Macaca mulatta: one gene and its partner. The protein of the gene in region 1 purifies or fractionates together with the protein of each later gene. This does not show direct contact. Links are inferred from orthologs where the notes say so. Each region holds a gene or a part of one and is shown on either strand. Other genes may lie near its edges.

Region 1 (5,293 bases):
TAAGCATGCCCAAGTTCTCATCCATTTCTTACCAGGTAAATGGCTGCAGATGATGCAAAAAAGGCCTATATCCAGCAATACATTCAAATACCATGGTCCCAAAGCTCCAATAATCAACAGTGGCTGTGTAAGGCTTATTCTCAAAGAGCTCTGGGGCCTTCAAAAGAGAAAATGTTTTAAACACCAACACTGTATGGGAAAAACTACTTTATTTTTGAACTACTATATTCATGATCTTCAGAAATAAGAGAATCCTACACACATTTAAATTCAAAGAAACAATACAGGCCTCACCAGATACTGCAGTGTTCCCACAAAAGATGTACACAGACTTCCTTGATCAACATCTTTGGCATATCCCAGATCAATTATTTTATGTATTATCTGAAAAATAATAAGACAGATTAAGTATTAAATGGTAGAGAAATTTAAAAAGGAAAGACAACAATATCCTTATAAGGCTATAGAGAGGGTGGTGGTGAGGAGCTTAGGCTCTGTAATATCACAAAAATATTTCAAGTCTGAGTGCCACCACTTAACTAGGTGTGTGATCTACCAAGTTATTTAACCTCTCTCAGTAATCTAATTGGACGACTAACAGTCCCTACCTCACAGAATTGTTATTAGGATCCAATGAAATAATGAAAGTAAAGAAGGTAATACAGTGCTTGGTACACGATAAAAATTAAATACAGGTGGGCTATTAATTTTTATTTTGCTATATTCAAAATAAGCTCGATCCATTAAACTGGAAAGTAAAGGCAAGGCTGACTTCCAAACTTGAAGAAGCATCATACCCCCTTAGAGTGGATTAAATGTGAGTAAATACTGAGATCTAACTTCAAGAATGTCCTGAAGTCTTTGGATAAAAAAAAAAAAAAAAAAAAAAAAGCAGAGATATTTGGTGCCAAGCATACACGAAAGGCTCCTAAGAGAAGAAGCATCACGAAGGTTCCAACACCCCCACGAGACCAACAACTATCTTCACTACCTGAAAAGACAGCACACACAACTCAACCCAAGGCGCAGACTCTTGGCTTTTAAGTCTTTACTGGAATGAAATTTGGACGCTGGAAACAAGAAAACTGCTTAAAAGTTACTAATTAAATGAACATTTTAAGAGTCAATTCACAATTTCTGGTTCTTCTCCAGATAACTCATCTAAATTGGGGGAAGGAAAATAAGTTTTAAAAATATACATACTTTCTTTTTTTCTTAAAGTGAACCCAGGATGTGTGTGTATGTGTTTTGGATGTGCTTCATAAGAATAAAATAGTAAGTGTTAACATATTATGTATTCACTGCCAGTATCTTTGCTAGATACTATGCTGGAAAAACAGACATGAACAAGACAGGTGAAGTCTAGGAGCTGCGTTAAGTATGAAAAAAAAGAAAAAGAAAAAGAAAAAGAAAAAAAAGACAGGTGCAGTTCCTTCTTTAATGGAACCACTGTTTAGCAGAAGGGACAAAAAACTAAACACAAAACTACAGTTCAGTGTGGTAAGGTCTGAAATGGAAAAAGTAAGAGTGTTACGGGCATACAGCAAAGACACCAAAGCTCAAGGACTAACTATATCAGACAGACTATATTCAATAGGCATGAAACATTACTTCAGGTTTCACCTACCTTTCCACCAACGTCCTGAAGAACTATGTTTTCAGGTTTTAGATCTCGATGTATAATTTTGTTTTCATGCAAATATCGAATCCCAGACCCTAAATAAAGTTTAAAATACACTTTGAAGTAACAGAAAGCATTGAGTTAAAAGAAAAATTCACCTCACATTTTGTACAAATCTGCTCTGATGCTCAAGTTTATATGGATCATCGTAACTACACAACTAATATTACAGTAGTTCAGGTTTTCTTCACAGAAAAACGTAACATTAAGCAAATACTACAAAATTATACTATATGTTCATCTAACTCATTAGAATTAACATTAAATAGAAATGCAACAAGCAATTGGGAAAATCCCTGTAATTCTAATAAGCCCCCTTCTCCCACCTAAATCAACCATTTAAATTGGACTTTAGCTCTCATGACCTTGGAAAAGAGGCAAAACCAAAATCTACGCGGAAACAAATTTTTGGTTTTTGAGGTTCCTCCAAAAGGTTAGGTACTGGTTATTTTAGGAATTTTTCTGGAGTCATTCTGATTAAGCAGAGATTTTTCACCCCAAGAGTTGACTTGGCCGGGCGCGGTGGCTCACGCTTGCAATCCCAGCACTTTGGGAGGCCGAGGCGGGCGGATCATGAGGTCAGGAGTTTGAGACTAGCCAGGCCAACACAGTGAAACCCAGTCTCTGTTAAAAATACAAAAATTAGCCAGGCATGGTGGCGGGCGCCTGTAATCCCAGCTACTCAGGAGGCTGAGGCAGGAGAATCACTTGAACCTGGGAGGCAGAGCTTGCAGTGAGCTGAGATCGTACCACTGCACTCTAGCCTGGGTGACAGGGCTAGACTCCGTCTCAAAACAAACAAAAAAGAGTTGATTTGAGGACCCATCTCTCAAGGAGATGCAATTCCACTGTAAAAAAAATTACTATGTCAATGGTGTGGGAGGAGTGAAATTGAGTAAGGTCATTTTGCATGATTTTTTTGTCAGCTATTGGAACACCTATTAGATTAAAAAAGGACTCCTAGCCAAAAATAAATAAAATATCCTAGTTTGTGTGTGTGTGTGTGTGTGTGTGTGTGTGTGTGTGTGTGTGTGACAAAAGTCTCACTCTGTTGCCCAAGCCGGAGTGCAGTGGCCCAATCTCGGCTCACTGCAACCTCCACCTCCTGGGTTCAAGCAATTCTCCTGCCTCAGCCTCCCGAGTAGCTGCGACTACAGGCATGTGGCATCATGCCCAGCTAATTTTTCTATTTTTCTTTTTATTTTTTTGAGACGGAGTCTCGCTCTGTCGCCTAGGCTGGAGTGCAGTGGCGTGATCTCGGCTCATTGCAAGCTCTGCCTCCTGGGTTCACGCCATTCTCCTGCCTCAGCCTCCCAAATAGCTGGGACTACAGGCGCCCGCAACACACCCAGCTAATTTTTTGGATTTTTTAGTAGAGACGGGGTTTCACTGTGTTAGCCAGGATGGTGTCGATCTCCTGACCTTGTGATCTGCCCGCCTTGGCCTCCCAAAGTGCTGGGATTACAGGCATTTTGTATTTTTAGTAGAGATGGAGTTTCACTATGTTGGCCAGGCTGGTCTTGGACTCCTGACCTCGTGATCCGCCCACCTCAGCCTCCCAAAGTGCTGGGATTACAGGCGTGAGCCACCGCACCCTAGGATATAAAAATATCCTGGTTTTAATTTAGCATCAACAGTAATAGATTTATATGATAACTTCTTATAGATGCTGAAATTCTATAGACTTTGTACAGTGTATCAACAATTCTCCTGAATTCCCAAAAAGGTACAGAATCTTTTATGGACCAAAGGGGCATTACATCACAATGGTATTTTAATACTGATTACATACCTATATCACTTAGTAAAGAAAGTATCTGGCTTTCTTTAAGTCCACAACAATTTTCTGGTTTGTTGAGCAGCTAAAAAAAGAAAGAAATCTAAAAATGTGTTCTGGAAATTGCTGGGCTGTAATAGTGACCACACATTAATTACTATACTCTAAGAGAATATTCAATGAGAAAGTAAGTCATAATAAAATACAAGGGAATACAATTACCAAATCCATACTGACGGCATGTAAATTTCATGATAAGGCTCATAAAAGTAAAAAGAAGCAAAAAGCACTTGAAACTGGAAAAGGCTGACAAATCTCAGGGATATATATATAAATGGTCATATGGGCACATTTAAAATTAGGTAAAAAAGAAAGATTGCAATACAGAAAACAACTTTTTACAAGCACCTTAACCACTGAAAATTTCATCTAATACCACTGCTATAGTCCCATCAAACAGCAACAACAAAAATGCATTTTCTAAATCAGGAGTCAACAAACATTTTCTGTAAGGAACCATATGGTAAATACTTTAGGTTTTGCAAGTCACATAGCCTCTGTTAAACTACTCAATTCTGCAGTCATAAGAAAGCAGCCACAGACAATGTGTAAAGAAATGAATGTGGCTGTGTTCCAATAAAACTATTTACAAAACAGGAAGCAGACCATAGTTTTTCCGATTCTTATTCTAGTTTATTATATTTAATATGATTCAAATAATGCTAAAGTTTGTGATTTACTATCTCTCATCTCAAAACATCCACACTACCTTTCGGAGATCTCCTCCAGAACAGTATTCCATTGCTAGAAGAGGCACATCATGAATCAAAATATTCAATTCTTCAGGAACATCACAGGCCTTTACAACGTTGGCATGGTTCAACCTAATAAGAAAGAAAAACATTACAATAAAAAATTTATTTCCAATAAAAAGGGACTGGATTTGAAATGCTACTTAATTGCAGGTGGATGAACAGAGGGGGAAAGATCGGTATTATTTATAATACTCTAATTTCTGATTTGTATAATTAAAAATTAGAATTTTTTAAAAGAAAACATACATAAAAATACCATCACTATTACTACTATTACATTTCTAAGTGCCAAGCAGTAAGCATTTTAAATATATTAACTCAATTACTTGTCACAATAATCCTAATATAGGTAGATTTATTAATACTTTCACCACACAGGAGAAAATTGAAGCACAAATTGGCTAAGTAACACAGTCAGTAGGTAGTCAAGTAAGGATTCAAATCTGGCGTTTTAGGCTGGATGCAGTTGCAACTGTAATCCCAACAATTCGGGAGGCTGAGGTGGGAGGATTGCTTGAGGCCAGGAGTTTGAGATCAGCATGGGTAACACTGAGACCTCATCTCTACAAAAAATTAAAAATTAGCCAGGTGTGGTGGCACATGCCTATAGTCCCAGCTACTCCAGAGGCTGAGATGGGAGGACTACTTGAGCCCAGGAGTTCAAGTCAAGCCTGGGTAACACAGCAAGACCACATCTCTTTAAGAAAAAAAAAAGAAAAAGAAACAAACAGAATTTCCATGTACATGCAGGGCCTGATAATTTATATTGTTAAGCTTTCCTGGTGATTCTGCCACATAACCAAGTTTGAGAAGCAAAATGAAATTAAGCACAGATATATTAGAGTCAGAAAGTATTTATTTCAAATCCACACTTTACCAACCACCAGCTATGTGACTCTATATGCTTCAACTTCCTCACTTACAAAATAATACCTAAATATAAGATTGCTGTGATAAACTGGAAGAATGATCCGTAAAGCACTTAGCACACTACCTGTGGAAGTTTTAAAATATATCTAC
Region 2 (5,293 bases), on another chromosome or scaffold:
TAGTTCGGTGCTGTGTGGCATCAGTGGGTGGAAGTTACAGCCTCATATATTTTGATTCAGTATAGTGGTAAGAAGAAAAGTGAGAAGAAAAAGAAATTATTGGTTGTTTTCAATATGTTACTTCATTTACATTCTTCAAAATAATCCTATCAGAGTGTGTATGTTTCCGTGTTTAAATATTGGAAGAAAAACTCAGAGTGAATGAATACCCAAGGTCACATGACACATAAGTGGCAAAACCGGTTTGGAATCCAGGTCTGTGTAATCTTGTCCCTTTCTACAATATTCTACTATTCTCTATTGGGCTGCAAGCATTTTTACAATTAAACTGTTCATCACCAGTCATCTTCTGCCTGACAAAGTAAAGGCCACATCTCCCACATGTCTAAAAGGGTTCAAACAGAGAATGAATGGAAAGGTTGAAAGGAAGGTTGAACTCTAGATCAACGATCTGCAAACTTACTTGATCATACTCTTAGCAAAGTACTGTACATACTATATATGTAGCTTATACATCAACTACTGTACTCATATGTTATAAAACATATAGGACATTCCCAGTACAAAGAAATGATAAACATTTGGGATGATGTATATGCTAATTCCCTTGATCTGATCACTATATACTGTATGTATCAAAACATCACTGCGAACCCCATTAATATGTATAATTGTTGTCAGTTAATTTTTTCAATTATAGGAAAAATAAGAGTTTAGAAAGATTAAGATTTTATATAACATTTTAGTTTTTTTATAAATTAGATTTTAGGTTTTATGTAAAATCTCATCTTTATAAAACTTCTGTTTTGCAGATAGATACTTTTTTATGTATCCCTATGGATTGTCTTTTTTACCCATGGAACTGTATACCCCCAACATTGAAGGTCATTGTTTTGGATGATTTCGTAAGAGTCCTTTCAGTATGAAGATTCTGTAATTTGTCCAGAATTTTTCTGAAAGGGCTAATGGTAGCTTACTTCACTTTCAGAAAGGTTTTTAGATAGTTTTTTCTAAAACCAGAACTATAAAGACTTCACTATCGTTTGTAACAGCAATTAAGCCCAAAAACTACAAAGTGTGAAAGGTGCTCTTCTAGATAAATAGTAGCAACCCCATGAGTGTTACAATGTATATATAAAAGGAGATGGAAGTAGGGGCTATTATTAAGTAAGAAACCTGATTTTTATTTGTGACATAAGAAATAGCCTCATTATTTTAGTTATATCTTCTCTTTCTAAACCTATATATATCCAAAACTTACTGTAGTCATATATTCTAAAATGCATCTGAAATTTTGCCTAGAGAGTAATATGAATTTTTGGACTTGAGAAATTATTTTAGCACTTTTTAAAAATAGAGCCAAAGATTTAAATTAGGCTAAGTCTACTGGACTAAAATCTTGATAGAGATATATTCTCTAAGAAGCGAAGAAGTTAGTTACTTGCATTACCTGACAGAGGAAAATGTTAGCTGTTTTTCTACATTCTGGGCCTTAGTTATTGGCATTGCCAGGTTGATGCTTCACAATTAAGACAACTTTTTCTGTTAGTGACTGCTCCTTGGTGATAGATTCTTTAAGAAAAAGTCATCCCAGAACACATAAAGCAGAAAGCAAATCTGGCCTTTGAAAGATACTGTTAATGTTGAGATGGAATTCTAGATCAACAGTGCTCTTTTCTATTTCTTTCTCAATGATACGTTTGGTATCGACTTTCTGACATGACATACTGCAATTTGGTTGGTAGTTGCAAAGGAAATGTTTCTTGCAAGTATGATCAAACTCAGTTTAAGCAAGAGATTGAAACAACCAACTTCAGCTGCTTATTCAGCACAGGACTTAAGTGCCCCGGAGGCTGGGAGTTTCTTAATAATAACTCCTAGTGATCATTTTGTTCTAGAAAATTACCCTGGAAAAGTAGTATAAATAGTTTAATCTGCTATTTCTTAAATTTTTGTATTCCTTTACTCATTCAACAAATAAGTAGTATTCAGTGCCTCCTTGTGCCAAGCACTGAGGACTCATTAGTGAGCAAAAAGGATATTAACCATGTTTTTAAAAAATGTATCTAACATGTACTAAAAGCCAAGGGATGTGGTGATGCATGCATGTAGTTCTACCTACTGAGAAGGTTGAGGCAGGAGGGTCACTTTGAGCCCAGGGGTTTGAGTTTGTGCTATGATGGTGCCACTGTACTCCAGCCTGGGCAACAGAGCAAGACCCTGTCTCTTAAAAAAACAAACAAACAAAAAGTCTAATGAAACTATTGTGGCTCATAACAGCATACTTCAGAAACCCCTGCTCTAGTCTGACTGTGCTTACCTACCTGCTTGCATGTGTTTGTCTTTCTTCCCACATCTCTTCCCCTCCCTCCCTTCCTTCCTTTCTTACTTAATTCTCTTCTTTTTTGTTTTGTTTTTTTTTTTTTTTTTTTGAGGCGGAGTCTCGTTCTGTCGCCCAGGCTGGAGTGCAGTGGCCGGATCTCTGCTCGCTGCAAGCTCCGCCTCCCGGGTTCACGCCATTCTCCTGCCTCAGCCTCCTGAGTAGCTGGGACTACAGGCACCCGCCACCGCGCCTGGCTAATTTTTTGTATTTTAGTAGAGACGGGGTTTCACCGTGTTAGCCAGGATAGTCTCGATCTCCTGACCTCGTGATCCGCCCGCCTCGGCCTCCCAAAGTGCAGGGATTACAGGCATGAGCCACTGCAACCGGCCTGCTTCTCTTCTTTTACATCTCTTTTCCTTCTTTGAGTTAGTGACAATAAGCAAATTTTGAACTCATCTAAGATTAGGAGAAAAACTGTACGTGATATTTATTGTATAAAACTTGCATGGTGGAGTTAAACAGGAGATGATAAAATTCTTAATTTACTTTATAAACCAAATGTTACCTCACCTGTGCAGCTCTCAAGGTGGGTATGTTTGTTTCTTCTTCCAGAAACCGTGTCTCTTTAAATGGGTTTATATCATTCTATTTTAAATAAAATTCGTATGTTTTTATACAAGTGTGCTCTTTAGATGCAAATGTTTATATGATTAGAAAGATTTTCATTAGTCTTTCTTTGATTATGTATTGTTTGAATTTGAATCCTGATATGTTATTCTGGAATTAGCCATTTTTGTTTCTATTTCTGTTATGTTACAATTAGTGTATTTCTTATTTTTCAGTGCTTTAATTGCCTTGTTATCTAAACTCTAGAATATATACCAGTTAATTAAAGACATGTGAGTGTGTGGTTTTTTTTTGTTTTTGTTTTTGTTTTTGTTTTTTGCTTTTGTCTTTACTGGCAAATTTAAAGGTAATTGAAAGTATAATTCTTGTCTTCTTTAGCATCAGACAACAGTCAGCGCTTTCGAGAAACCTGTTTTGCGTTTGCCTTGACACCACAACAAGTGCAGCAAATCAGTAGTTCCATGTAAGTTGTCAGCAAGTGTAACTTGCAGTTTGACCTTTGAATCCAGTAGACTAGAATAAATGATTTTAAAAAACAGTGATTGGTGAGTTAGTATTTGTGTGTTGCAAATATTAGTAATGCAAATATAGTGTGTTAATTAAGAACAGTTATGGTAATTTGAAAAACTTTACTAGAGTAACAATGTCTTTGAATGAACTTTCATGCAAATACTTTAAAAGTAATTGTAATTCCTATTCTGTCTCTTCTAGGGACATTTCTGGGACCAAATGTGACTTCACAGTACAGGTCCAGTTAAGGTATAGTGCTGACTATAGGATATATTCAAAGTTTAAAAGATAATATTCCTTATCAGGAAGGGGAGATGGAAAAAAATTTTTAAGGAATAAGAGGAAATCTACCTGATTTTTCAGTAAGTGTATTGAAAGAATTAGGTTTAGATATTTGGGTGAGGGAAAACATTCTCCTGTTACGAGATATTCTAATTTTCATCCAGTTTAGATTTTTTCTCCCACCTGCCCACCCCCCAATTTAGATTTTAATATAGGAAGTCATGTTCTATATATCTAGCCATATTTGCCCTCAGTTGGTTGAGAAGCTCCTGCTAATGATATCTTACAATATCATATCAAGTTTTATGAAAGCATGGGCGTTATCTCCATAAGAGGCAAAGTATTGTGCATGAGGAATTAGTACTTAAGTCTACAGTATCTCATGGACTAACAAACACCGAAATACTCTAATTTGTTTTGTTCTATATTTTTAATAATTTAAATGTGCTCTAATTTAGGATCCATTTGAGACATCTCTTGAAAATTTTCAAAGACTAATGGGAAATTTTCCAACATGGGTTCACAACCCCTTATTCAGTTTGTTTTCTTAGCCCATTCATTTATTTTAGAATATCTAAGAAATCTTTTGTATTATTTCTCTCCCTTATATATCTCCCTTTTATATACATATATATATATCTCCCTTATATAAACCGTGCTTATATAAACCATCATATTATGCTTTTATTATTCAATTTCCCACCCTAAATGTCCACAGTGTTGCAATAGGGATGGAAGAGAAAATGTAAAACAGTTGTTTTCCTCAGTAAGCTGTTTTCCCTATAATTGTTGGGAGGATAAATCAAACAGATAGCCTTGTCTCAATAATCAGATACTAAGTTGTACGTACAAATTGCAAATACACTAGGAGGCTAAAAAAGGAATTAATCTAAAACACCTGTTCGGCACTTTATGGAATCCTGTGAAAACCTCTAATCTAAACTTTGAAATAATAAGGTAAAAACAGTGAGAAAGCAGAGTTGAAGTCGAAAGTTGAGTTGAAGATTCTAAAAAGGATATGACTATGCTTAATAGCTTTTATACCATAAAACAGTATGACAGGACCTTACCGCAGTAGACTAGTGATAATCTAAGTTTCAGTTTTGGAAGGCACTGCCGAAGATGATTCTGTATAAAAGGTATATTTTGTTTCGGCCAGATTGTGATAATGACTGAATAAATTAAAGGACAAAAATAAGATGTCTCCATAGTTAATTATGTATTGCTGTAGTCTACTTCCTGCCTCAACAGTTGACATTTTGCTTGTACTGATACTTGACATTATCCTTTAAATCAGTGGTTTTCAAACTTGTTGCATGGAGCCACCCTTAGGGCCTCATACTCTTCTGCCATCCTCCCCTTCTCCCTCCTCTTCTCTCCTAAACACATACACAGTCTGAACCAAAGTGGGGCTTCTTTTATCTCTTTTATCTGTTTTGCATGTTTGACTCTGGGTTAGTTTTCACTTGAAGACAGAGTCCCAAGACTAAAACAGAGTTTAAAAACCATAGCTTTAGAATAAAAGATCTAGTTACTAAGTATTTTGTATTA

What was found. Proteins that work in one complex are often made in the same cells at the same time.
Region 2: the proteins of CHUK (region 1) and PIAS1 purify together in Homo sapiens (affinity purification with western blotting; 3 studies listed by BioGRID). This does not show direct contact. The link is inferred for Macaca mulatta from reciprocal best matches to the Homo sapiens genes CHUK and PIAS1.

The regions. Positions count from the first base shown.
Region 1 is NC_133414.1:112,269,296-112,274,588, forward strand, and holds part of CHUK (inhibitor of nuclear factor kappa-B kinase subunit alpha), read right to left. Parts: intron 4,343-5,293; coding exon 4,228-4,342; intron 3,544-4,227; coding exon 3,474-3,543; intron 1,717-3,473; coding exon 1,628-1,716; intron 385-1,627; coding exon 295-384; intron 158-294; coding exon 33-157; intron 1-32.
Region 2 is NC_133412.1:45,694,464-45,699,756, forward strand, and holds part of PIAS1 (E3 SUMO-protein ligase PIAS1), read left to right. Parts: intron 1-3,328; coding exon 3,329-3,413; intron 3,414-3,661; coding exon 3,662-3,709; intron 3,710-5,293. UniProt on the Homo sapiens protein: Functions as an E3-type small ubiquitin-like modifier (SUMO) ligase, stabilizing the interaction between UBE2I and the substrate, and as a SUMO-tethering factor. Catalyzes sumoylation of various proteins, such as CEBPB, MRE11, MTA1, PTK2 and PML.